Rattus norvegicus: one gene and its partners. The protein of the gene in region 3 interacts with the protein of the main gene of each other region in a biochemical or structural test. Links are inferred from orthologs where the notes say so. Each region holds a gene or a part of one and is shown on either strand. Other genes may lie near its edges.

Evidence for each region.
Region 1: of the proteins of Sec31a (region 3) and Klhl12, one has a biochemical effect on the other in vitro, tested with the Homo sapiens proteins (3 studies listed by BioGRID, with this or other methods). The link is inferred for Rattus norvegicus from reciprocal best matches to the Homo sapiens genes SEC31A and KLHL12.
Region 2: the proteins of Sec31a (region 3) and Sec13 form a complex in vitro, tested with the Homo sapiens proteins (2 studies listed by BioGRID and IntAct, with this or other methods). The link is inferred for Rattus norvegicus from reciprocal best matches to the Homo sapiens genes SEC31A and SEC13.

The regions. Positions count from the first base shown.
Region 1 is NC_086031.1:48,458,175-48,461,825, reverse strand, and holds part of Klhl12 (kelch-like protein 12), read right to left. Parts: intron 3,003-3,651; exon of another isoform or gene 2,893-3,002; intron 2,167-2,892; coding exon 2,013-2,166; intron 1-2,012. UniProt on the Homo sapiens protein: Substrate-specific adapter of a BCR (BTB-CUL3-RBX1) E3 ubiquitin ligase complex that acts as a negative regulator of Wnt signaling pathway and ER-Golgi transport.
Region 2 is NC_086022.1:148,440,187-148,443,837, forward strand, and holds part of Sec13 (protein SEC13 homolog), read right to left. Parts: intron 2,383-3,651; coding exon 2,267-2,382; intron 939-2,266; coding exon 787-938; intron 392-786; coding exon 258-391; intron 1-257. UniProt on the Homo sapiens protein: Functions as a component of the nuclear pore complex (NPC) and the COPII coat. At the endoplasmic reticulum, SEC13 is involved in the biogenesis of COPII-coated vesicles.
Region 3 is NC_086032.1:9,570,590-9,574,082, forward strand, and holds the end of Sec31a (protein transport protein Sec31A), read left to right. Parts: intron 1-179; coding exon 180-299; intron 300-646; coding exon 647-718; coding exon of another isoform or gene 719-745; exon of another isoform or gene 746-2,397; coding exon 2,398-2,577; 3' UTR 2,578-2,989; downstream 2,990-3,493. UniProt on the Homo sapiens protein: Component of the coat protein complex II (COPII) which promotes the formation of transport vesicles from the endoplasmic reticulum (ER).

The DNA of each region.
Region 1 (3,651 bases), on a different chromosome or scaffold from region 3:
GGGAAAAGGGACGGTCCAGTGCATGAACTCAGTTCTTTTTTGGTTTGGTTTTTGAGACAGAGTCTTACTGTGCAGCCCTAGCCAGTCTAGAGCTCACAGTGTAGAAGAGAATGGTCTCAACTCACAAGTATCTTTCTGAATCTCTCTCTGGAGTGCTGGGATTAAAGGCCTGTGCCACAACACCTGGCATAAACTTAACTTAATTTTCTAAGTCTGCACTTAGCGCGCTCCACTTCACCTCAGTCTTATATGACAGGTGGGGAATGAGGACTGGACATAGGCGTCTGTGCCTGTAATCCCAGCATTCAGGAGGCTACGAAGGATCACACATTCTAGGCCAGTTTAGACCACACAGTGATACACTTATCTAAAACAAAACAAACAGCAGTAAGAATGTTTCAATTAAGTGGATACATGGTTGGAGGTTGAAGGGACAGATGGCTAGTTACCATGGTGACAACTGTAATCCTAGTGCTCAGAAGGCTGAAGCAAGAAGACAGAATTAGGACCAACTGGGATACAATTTAGGGCCAGCCTTGTCTATACAGTGTAGACCATCTGAAAAATTATATTTTAACTCCTATACATCAATTTAAAGTTTATTTACTTCTTTTTGAGACAGGTCTACCTATATAGCCCATGCTGTTTCTCCTTCTCAAGTAGAAGGTAAATTTTATTTTATTATTTTTTTGTTTGTTTTGTTTTTCTGAGAGAGTTTCTGTGTGAAGCCCTGGCTGTCTTAGAACTAGCTCTGAAGATGAGGCAGGTATCCAACTCACAGAGCTCTACCGGTCTCTGCCTCCTGAACTCTAGAATTAAAGCATGTACCACCACTGACTAGCATAAATTTTATTTTCAATAGGTATCTTAAGGCACACATAGAGGTGCATGCCTTTAATTCCAGCATTTCAGAAACAGAAGCAGGTGGATACCCTTGAGTTAGAGGACAACCTGAGCGGCAAGTTCCCAGATAACCAGTTACATAGTGAGACTCTGTTTCAAAAACAAACCAGGGAACTGGAGAGATGGTTCAACAGTTAAACACACTATTATTCTTGAAGATCTAGGTCCAGTTCCCAGCCCCCAGAATGCAGTCCACAACTGCTTGTAACTCCAGTTTGAGAAAATCCGATACCCTCTTCTGACCTTTGTGGTCATCAGAGGTCACCCATTTGAGTATAACACAGATACACATAAAAAGATAAATAATAAAAGTAAAAAGAAAATTTAAAAGATATTTTCCATGATTCAGACTTAAAGATACAAAAAGGTTTATAAGAAAAAGTCCTTAGTCTCACCATGAACAAAGACATCAAATGACAAGGTAAATAATCAGTATCTATGTAGACAATGAATATTATCAGCTTCTTGACAATTTTTACCATGTATGCATACACACATATATACATGTATGTATTAAGGAAATACCTATATTTTCCATTCTGCTTTGTTTGGTTCAGTTTAATTGCTTAATGTGAATGGGTGCTTTGCAAACATGTGTATCTGTATGATGCCCAGAAGAGGGCATTAAATTCCCTGGAAATGAAAATAATTGTGAACCACCAGTGGATGCTGGGACTCAAACACAGACCCTCCTGAAGAACAGTCCATGCTCTTAAGCCCTGAGCCACCTCTTCAGCCCCATCGGTTCATTTTAAGATGTAGTCTCATTTTACACACTAAATCGGCTCCAAATTCATACAATCCTCTGCTTCTTAAGTGCTGCGATTATTGGTGTCAGCCACCATACCTATTTCCATATTTTCCTATTTCCACCTTCCATATTTTCAAAAACAGAAAAAGTTTAAATGTTTCCTTTTACAAGACCCAAATACTCATATGTGGAGAGATTCTTATGCATTGCTTTTAACTATATCTGATCTTTCATGCTCAAAGATTCCAATGCCATGCTTCCAGACTGACCTCTGAAAGTCTCTTGATTAATTTTATGTCAATGAAAAACACTTCCAGGGCTACTGTGTCAGGAACAAGACACCTTTTATTGTCTATACCTTTCAACTGGAGAAGACAGGCTGCAGGGAGCAGTTCTTGAACATTCTCCACTGTCACATGTACTGTTTCTGTATACACGAAGTCCAACAGGATTTCCATTGTAGAAGCAGTTAAACCTTGAATGTCAACATATGGCTTCCCCTTCTCTGAAAGCTGAAAATTCATGAGGTAGGAAAGGATGGTACTTTAGATTCCACAAGGTAAAAGACAGAATCCAAGTCTAAGAGCTTAAAGGTATACTGGTACTAATTAAATACACATCTTTCAAAAACAACAACGTGGGGTTGGAGAGCTAGCTCAGTGGTTAAGAGTCCTGGCTGCTGGCTGGGCAGCGGTGGTGCACACTTTACTCTCAGTGTTTGGGAGGCAGAGACAGTGGATCTCTGAGTTCGAGGCCAGCCTGGTCTACAGAATGAGTTCCAGAATGGCCAGGGTTACAAAGAGAAACAAAAACAAAAGAGTACTAGTTCCTCTTCCAGAGGACCTAGGTTCAATTCCCAGCACCCATTGCAGCTCTCAATCATAACACCAGTTCCAGGGGTCAAGCCATTTTCTGACCACCACAAACACCAGGCTCACACATTTGAAACAGTCATACATGTAGGCAAGACACTTATAAGCATAAAATAATTTTATAAAAAGCTTAAAATTATAATAAATGTTATTTAATTTGTATCTAGCAGGTATGACATGTATGGGCAGTTGGCTGTATCCTTAGGAGTGAACAAGAGAATAGCAAAGTTTCTAGAGAATTAACCTGATTCCATATTAAAACCAACACAGATATTTTAGAAAACAAAATACGAAAGTTTCATGAACCACTGTACCCATGTGCCTTTATGATAAAACATTCTCTCTCTTCTTTCCTCTCCTACACACCTGATTATGCTATGTGGCTGACCTGGTTTCCAGGTTGTAGCCCAAGCTGTCCTTGAATTTATAGCCATCCTCTCACCCAGACTTCTGAGGGCTGGCATTACAGGCATTTGCTAAAACAGAAACAGTCAATGAAATGTCATGGAAATAGGACTCTGAGATTTACAGCTACAACCTCCTCCAGGACGACCACATTCCTCTCCCCTGCCCACCCTCAGACTACATCTGGATAGAAAGAGAACGTGGATATCACTGCAAGTGGCTCCTCAGCTAACACTGTTTGAGATGGGGGAGGGGGACTGCAGTGATCCAGAGCTGCTCTAGGCTATGCAGTGACATCAAACGTCAAAAAATGAGATCAAAAGCAAATGCAACAGCAAAACCTCAGCCCTAGGGCAGAGACAGGTAGATCCCATGACTCTCCTGCAAGCTCAGGGTTCAGTGAGAGACCTTGTCTCAAAAAGTAAGGTGGAGAGGAGGAGAAACGGTTAAGGAAGACATGTGATGTCGAGCTCTGGGCTCACCACACCCTCACATGGGTCAGCACACTCACACACATCCACATGTGCTCATCCACACAAACTCCTATTACAACTCTTATGTACTTCCAATGGCTTTGTCATACTTGCTTTCTCCATCAGCCAGAGGGTAACAAAAAAAAAAAAACGTTTTTTAAAAAAAAATCAATCCCCCTTTAATCCCTGCACACTGGGGTGGGTTTGGGGGTTGGGGGAAACCAGGACAAAGACAGAACTTGAGGAC
Region 2 (3,651 bases), on a different chromosome or scaffold from region 3:
TCTGTAGCAAGGTGGCTGGTCAAAGTGCCCCCAATGCTTCTGTCCCCAACCTGGGTCTTACTAGGAGAAACCAGTGCCACTTCTGCCTTGGGCTGAGAAGGCTGGTGTGGCTATTGTCCCTCATAATAAAGTGGCTCTAGCAAGTTTAACCTATGACCTTTCCCAGCCATACCCACTCTTTCTCCTAGGAGCACAGAAGACTTTAGTACAGCAACTGCTGCTCTCTCTTCCATGCAAAAGGCTGGGGCTGGACTCACCGTGTGAGCATTGTTAATCTTCTTCACTTCCCACTGGCCTTCCCCTGTATAAGTCAGCAGCGAGATGGCACCATCTGAACTCCCACAGGCCAGGATCAGGCCATAGTCATGAGGGGCCCAGCAAACAGAGTTCACTGTGGAAAGGAGTACAGTGAGACGACTTCATTCTATATCTACTATTCTGCTACATTCTTAGAAAAAACACAGGGACTGCCAGCAGCCAGTTGACATTTGGCCAAATGACAAATTAACTCCTAACAGTATTTCCTAAGTCCGTCTTCACAAAGCAAGGAAGAGGGGCACCCTGAGATTCCAGGCTGAGCCTTAGAAAGCCGCACTGTACTTATAAACCTCTTTCTCCGGATTGGCTTTAGGTCTTGGCGACTGACCTTTGTTGGGGATAGACTAGTGAAAAAGCTAACAAATGTCTAAAGGGTGGACAGCAGCAAGAGAAGGGTCTGGGATGTGATCAGAACTAGGGCTTTTCTCACCCACAAGACCTTCCTACTCACCTGCCAACTCTACATACCTGAGGAGTCATGTCCTGAGTGCTCATGGGTCTTTTCCCAAGTGCCATTTTCCTCCTTCCAGATAATGACTTTCCGGTCATAGGAACAGGAAGCCAGGATATTGCCATACATGGGGTGAGCCCAGGCCACCTGCCACACTGGCCCCTCATGTCTGTAAGGGAGGGGGTTAAAGGCTACTCAGAGGTTCAGGGGACCCAAAGTACCAGTTCCCTCTGGAGAGACAACACAGTATTCCCACTATCTTAAGTTTTTGAGGCAGGGTCTCATGCTGTAGGTCAGGTTAGCATTGAGCTTGTAACCCTCCCAAATGCTAGGACAAAAGAATGTGCCACCACACTTAAATTTGGTTTGTGTTCTACTATGTTTGGAATGAGAACTCTGCATCTTGAAATGACTTACTAAGACATTAAATTGTCTCTGTCAAAACCAAGTAGCAAGTGGCAGGTCTAACAATCTGTAATTTCAAAGTCATAATGAGCACAAATGATATTCTTTTTTTTTTTTTTTTGGTTCTTTTTTTCGGAGCTGGGGACCGAACCCAGGGCCTTGCGCTTCCTAGGTAAGCGCTCTACCACTGAGCTAAATCCCCAGCCCCACAAATGATATTCTTAGACAGCTCCATGTAAGATGAAAATATGTCTGACTTTTCTTGGTGACAAAGTGAGTGACAAGTGGGAGTTTCCAGTCTACATCCAAAATAGAAAAAATGGTAAATTCAGAGTCATGTAAATAAATGTGATTGTTTTCCCTGTCCTAGTTTGCCAAACTTGTGACCCAGTTCACTCTAGCAGACCCAGGTACCCAGGTAAGGAATCCACACTATGTCTCAAAGAGATGTGATCATGAAAATGAGCCAAGACCCCAAAGGCTAGTGGGGGAGAAAGCAAACATCTTTTAAATAATCCTTGGCCATCTATCTGCCATGAGCAAACAGAACAAGATGTATAAAATTTGTCTTATGGGCCTAGTGAGATGGCCTAGTGGGTAAAAGCACCTGCTGTGTAAGCCTGAGTTCAATCCCCTGAACCCATGGAAAGGTAGAAGGAGAAAACTCCACAAAGTTGTCTTTTGACTGCCACATATGTGTCCCAAGTTCATCTCACGATCATACTTCCTAAATGACACTTGAGGTGAAATGCCTAAATGTGTGCAGGTTGGTACTGTAGTGTTCATTAATTCTGAACATGACAGTGGTTGCCCACATCAAAGATATATTGATGGGCCCTGGATAGAGTCAGGATTACCCCAGCTGGGGTTAAGCAGAGGAGGGCCAGGCCTCCTGGTGGTAGAACTGAGGATCATACTTGAATGTCTCTGTGCCCTTATCTACACCTCTGCTAAGGGCAGAGGCATCTGGGCTTTAAGCATCCTCACTGGTTAATGTACTCTGGGATTGCTCTGAATTTGTGCTTTCATCCTTCCTCCCAGGCCTGAGAATCTAGCTATCCCACGACCTTCTCCATGCTTGTTTACACTTACCCTCTGAGGTCTGCGATGAGGATCTGCCCTCCATTTCGCACATCAAAAATTTTGACAGACCTATCTGAGGAGCAGGTTGCTAGGCGGGTGCCATAATAGTCCATCTGCGCATCATGCTGCAAGGGAAGGACAGCTAGGGAAGCCTGCAGGACAGGTGCATAACCCCCACGCCAGGCCCCTACAGACTCAAATCAGATTTCAGGAATAGCCAGCTGCCACCTGCAGCAGCTAGAAACTTTCAACCAAAAGTGATGCATGGACCTTAACATTTCTTTGTCACCTTTCTACTCAAGATAAAGGATTCTTCTGGAAGGCCATCTTTCTACTGGGTCAGGCTTTGCTCTCCTGGTAAGTAGGCTTGTAGGTCCATTTAAAAACCCTTTTCAGCAGAGTGCTGTCATACTGGTAAGGAAGTATCTAAAAAGGAAATTCTATGTCCTTAGCTTATTTGTTGTACAAGCTTTGAAAAATTAGCTTATTTATTTAACCGTCAGTTTCCATATCTTAAGAAGGACTAAGGAGCTTCACGGGTCCTTGAAGGCATAATAAGGTACTGAATGGAAAGTACTTAGGGTCTGATGACAAGTTTAGAGAGCATAGAGATGTCTCTAACTACTATACTGCCTCATGTGATCCCCAGGAGGAAACCAAGGTGGGTCACTGGCAGAGGTGCTGAGACTGGATCTTCTTGCTCTTGGGTCCATGCCAGCTCCAGCCAGGTGGCCTCACAGCTAGACTACTCACCACCAAAACCAACAAGATGCACAGTTTGGTCCCAGAACCCCCAAACCAAGTGCCAGGGGTTAAGTGTGGAGGTCAGGGACTTAACAGGAAAGACTGAGGCCATTAAGCCTGGGCCCTGCTCAAAGGCTGCCTGCATTGTTTGGCTCCAGGAAGCAGGATGAGTTTCTCAGTTAGGGACTTCAACCTCTGGACCTTCCCTAGCAGTTCTACACTGTGCCCTGTGTTGGCCTATCAAGAAACGCCCTGAGAGCCCCAAGGGCCTGGTATGGACTACTCTCTGGGACAGAAGTGTACTGGCTTCTGCCCTACACTTTTACTGTGGCTGCTAGACTTCCTATTCTCCCTAAGTCCCTTTCAGTAGAGCTAAGAAATAGCCTTAGGAGAAAGACAAATGGGAAGATGGTTGTCAAACCTCTGCAGCCTTACTCTTAGAGCAGGCACTGTACTGGCCAAAGACTGAAGGGCCTGAACTGTACAACAGAGCCAGGTTCTCACAGCAAAGATAGGCCACTGTAAACACTGCCAACTCAGAGGTCATGTAGGAAAATGATTAACCCCCCAGAGGTTATGGCCTGCTGGGAGCTAATATAGTCAAAATGCTCACTGAGGGGAATGCCCATGACGAGGCCCGGGAAAAGGGC
Region 3 (3,493 bases):
CCTACTGGCATCTTACCCATTTCTTCACAGAGCCCTGAGTTCACATGTCAAACCTTCATTTTATTTTTAACAGATCTGCCTCTAGGGCGGTTGGCTCTCTCTTCACATAGAATCAGAACTTTGTATAGAAGACACTTTCTGGTCATTTCTCATTGTCCATATCACGTTATTTCTTTTAGCATGTGCAGGCTCTGCCAACAGAAAAAATTACCAAGAAGCCTATTCCAGACGAGCACCTCATTCTAAAGACTACGTTTGAGGACCTTATCCAGCGCTGCCTCTCCTCAGCTACAGACCCCGTACGTATTCTGTGTAACTACAGATATAACCGGGCTGGAGGGCAGTCAGCACCATTACTATTGCTTCATTCCCAGCACCTACATGACAGCTCACAGCTGTCTGTAGCTCTGTTCCCAGGGGTCAGACGCCCTCTTCTGACCTCTGGAGGCACTGCACACATGTGGTGCACAGACACGCAGGCAAAACAGGTGTATACTTACAACAGTAAAATAAAAAAATTTTTAAGCCCTTTGTGGTGCTCCTTCGTTACTGAGTCATAGCTGCCTCCACTGTGTTGGTTAACAAAGACCTTCAGCATCCCAAGTGTAGGGTTCGAGTGTGACACCTGTTCTTTGCTCTCCCGCAGCAAACCAAGAGGAAGCTGGACGACGCCAGCAAACGCCTGGAGTGTCTGTACGACAAACTTAGGGACCAGACAGTAAGTTTGGGGGGAGGTGGACTATGACCGTCCATTATCCTTTGTTGCTAATAAAGTGACTCACCGACACTGTCACTCTGTGGGGTGACAAAGTTGTCATGAGAGGCACAGAATGGTCTTTCCCAAATTGCGTGGGGTGGGAGGGAGAACATATGAGGGAAATCAGCCCTTTCTGTAGCAAAGATCAGAAGTACAAACTGGGGCTGGAGAGATGGCTCAGTGGTTAAGAGCACTGACTGCTCTTCCAGAGGTCCTGAGTTCAAATCCCAGCAACCACATGGTGGCTCACAACCATCTGTAGTGAGATCTGATGCCCTCTTCTGGTCTGAAGACAGCTACAATGTACTTACAAATAAATAAATCTTAAAAAAAAATTTAAAAAAAAAAAAGTACAAACTGGACTCTGTCGGGCCCAGGGTAATTGGCCTGGTACTCCTTTCACATGGCCATGTATCAGAAACCGGACAAGGCAGGCGCCCTGTTTCCTAGAGAAGAATCTATCATCTCTCTGGAGTCTAAGACTCTTGATCCTTTTCGCCTACAACAGCTGATATAGAAAGGCAGAACCAATGTTGCTGCCAGATGGTCAGGGTAATGTCTGTGACGGGGAAGAGAAGTCACAGCAAGGAATCACTGTGGTCCTCTTGAACTGACCTGCTGTCCTTTGAGAGTTGAGATAATCCTGTTCTCCACACTCAGGCTCATCTGATAAGAGTAACATTTTTCTCATGAGACCCAATGCAAAGAAAGCGATCTCATAGGAAGGGTGTGGTCTATGACTGATCCAAAAGAGAGTCTTGTACTAAAGTATGGGTTGTTCTGAGTGCTGCCGTGCCAGGTGAGCCAGTGTGCAAGCTGCAGGGGAGTCAGCCACATAGCTCAAGGCTGGCCCAGCATTCCAGATGTCAGGGAGGGAGAGGACATGGTCAGGGGTAGCAGCATGGGCCAGAGATCCCAGCTCTTGCTGAGATCCAGGAGTGAATCCAGCCAGGGCAACACAGCAATGGCTAGTTGCAAAGAAAAAAAGGAAAACAAATTTTTTTGCCAGAAGAGAAGGTAGACTTACAGAAAGCGATTTCGGGTCCAGAATTGGCTCAGGTTAGCGCTCTTGTCTAGCACATTGACACCCTAGACTCCATCCCCATCCTCACAGAAGAACGGATAGGAAGACTAGGTAAGAGCTGGTAAATTGCACTGTTTGCCGAGCCTATTGCCTTGAACTCAGAAGAGGACAGAAGGTTCAGGATCTGCTGTAGAAAAAGCTTCAAGTAGCTGGGGTCCCAGCTTTTTTAACATTATCATGATCTACAAGCTTCCCGGACTCAAGGAAAATGTTAAAGGCTCTGGCTAAAGTAACTGGAGAAGGGACACTCCATTGGAAAGAGGTTTATCAGTTCCGCTTGCAGGAGGAAATCAGTAAGGAAAGACCTGCTCTGCAGTGCAGTATGGTAATTCATAAGGGACTTGTGACACAAGGCGTCTCCCCAGGCTTCTACACTAAAGTGTAAGTTTCACTTGGTCCAAAATCTTTGTTTAGTTTAAAACATTCCAAAATGCTAACTAGTTACGCATTTGTAAAGAGTGTCTCAGGCTCTGCGTAAATCTCTGGGTTAATGCTTGCAGAGCACTGTGGGATACCCCTACTGTAACTCCCTCTCCTGCCCCTGCCTTTCTTTCAGCTTTCTCCAACAATCATCAGCGGTCTCCACAGCATTGCGAGGAGCATTGAGACGAGGAACTACTCTGAAGGGTTGACCGTCCACACTCACATCGTCAGCACCAGCAACTTCAGTGAGACCTCAGCCTTCATGCCAGTCCTCAAGGTTGTGCTCAGCCAGGCCAGTAAGCTGGGCGTCTGAGACAGCTGCCATGACCTCCGACTCCGCCACTTCTCCAAAGAAAGCCATGCTAAGACTGGGACCAGCCCCTCATTAGCATGTTTCCATGGCCACCCGCCACCCAGGAGCTTTGACATTTCTGCAGGCAAACTCCCCTAGAACTGCTTGAACCCCCCCTCCCACCCCGCCCGTGCTTTCCTTTGTTTTAATCCCCTCGCCCATTATGATTTTCCCATTCTGCAAATAGTGTCTTTCCTGGATTACACATAGTGTGGTTTCCTGAGGGATTCTGACAAAATGTGGTTTTTAAAACTTTGGTGTACTTTTTAGGAAAATTGCATCTGGCTGTGTATAAAACAGACCTAAAATAGATTTCTTTAATGTCTTCCCTACCTTCTTCACGTTGATCAGATTAAAGTTGTAATCCCATCTTATACCTCAGTCTTTATTGGTTTACGTTTTCACTGCATTTTCTTTGTTTCTGCGTGAGTCGGTGTGGACTTGCCCCTGCATGTGGAAGCCAGGGGACAACCTGCAGGGTCGGCCTCTCCTTCCTCCACGCGGCTCCCAGGCAGGTTTAGCAGCAAACACTTTTGCCTCTGAGCCGTCTCACCAGCCCTGTAGTCTTTAAAACAGGCTGCTGGGCTGGGGCCGTCGTCTGGGGGAGCGCTTCTTGGCGTGTGTCAGGCCCTGGCTCCTACTCCTATTGCTGTGGTGCAGTCCTTCTCCGTCTTGTAACGCTGCAGCCTTAATATAGGTCCTCAGTCGTGACCCCCAGCCGTAAAACTGTTGCTGCTACTTCGTAACTGTAATTTGCTACTGTTAAGAATCGCACCTTCAGCACCCATTCCTGCATTCTCCGTGCACGGGTATCTTCAGTGTTCTGCTTTGACTCAAGATTGACTTGTCTTACGTCATAGTTAGCATTTGCTCCCCC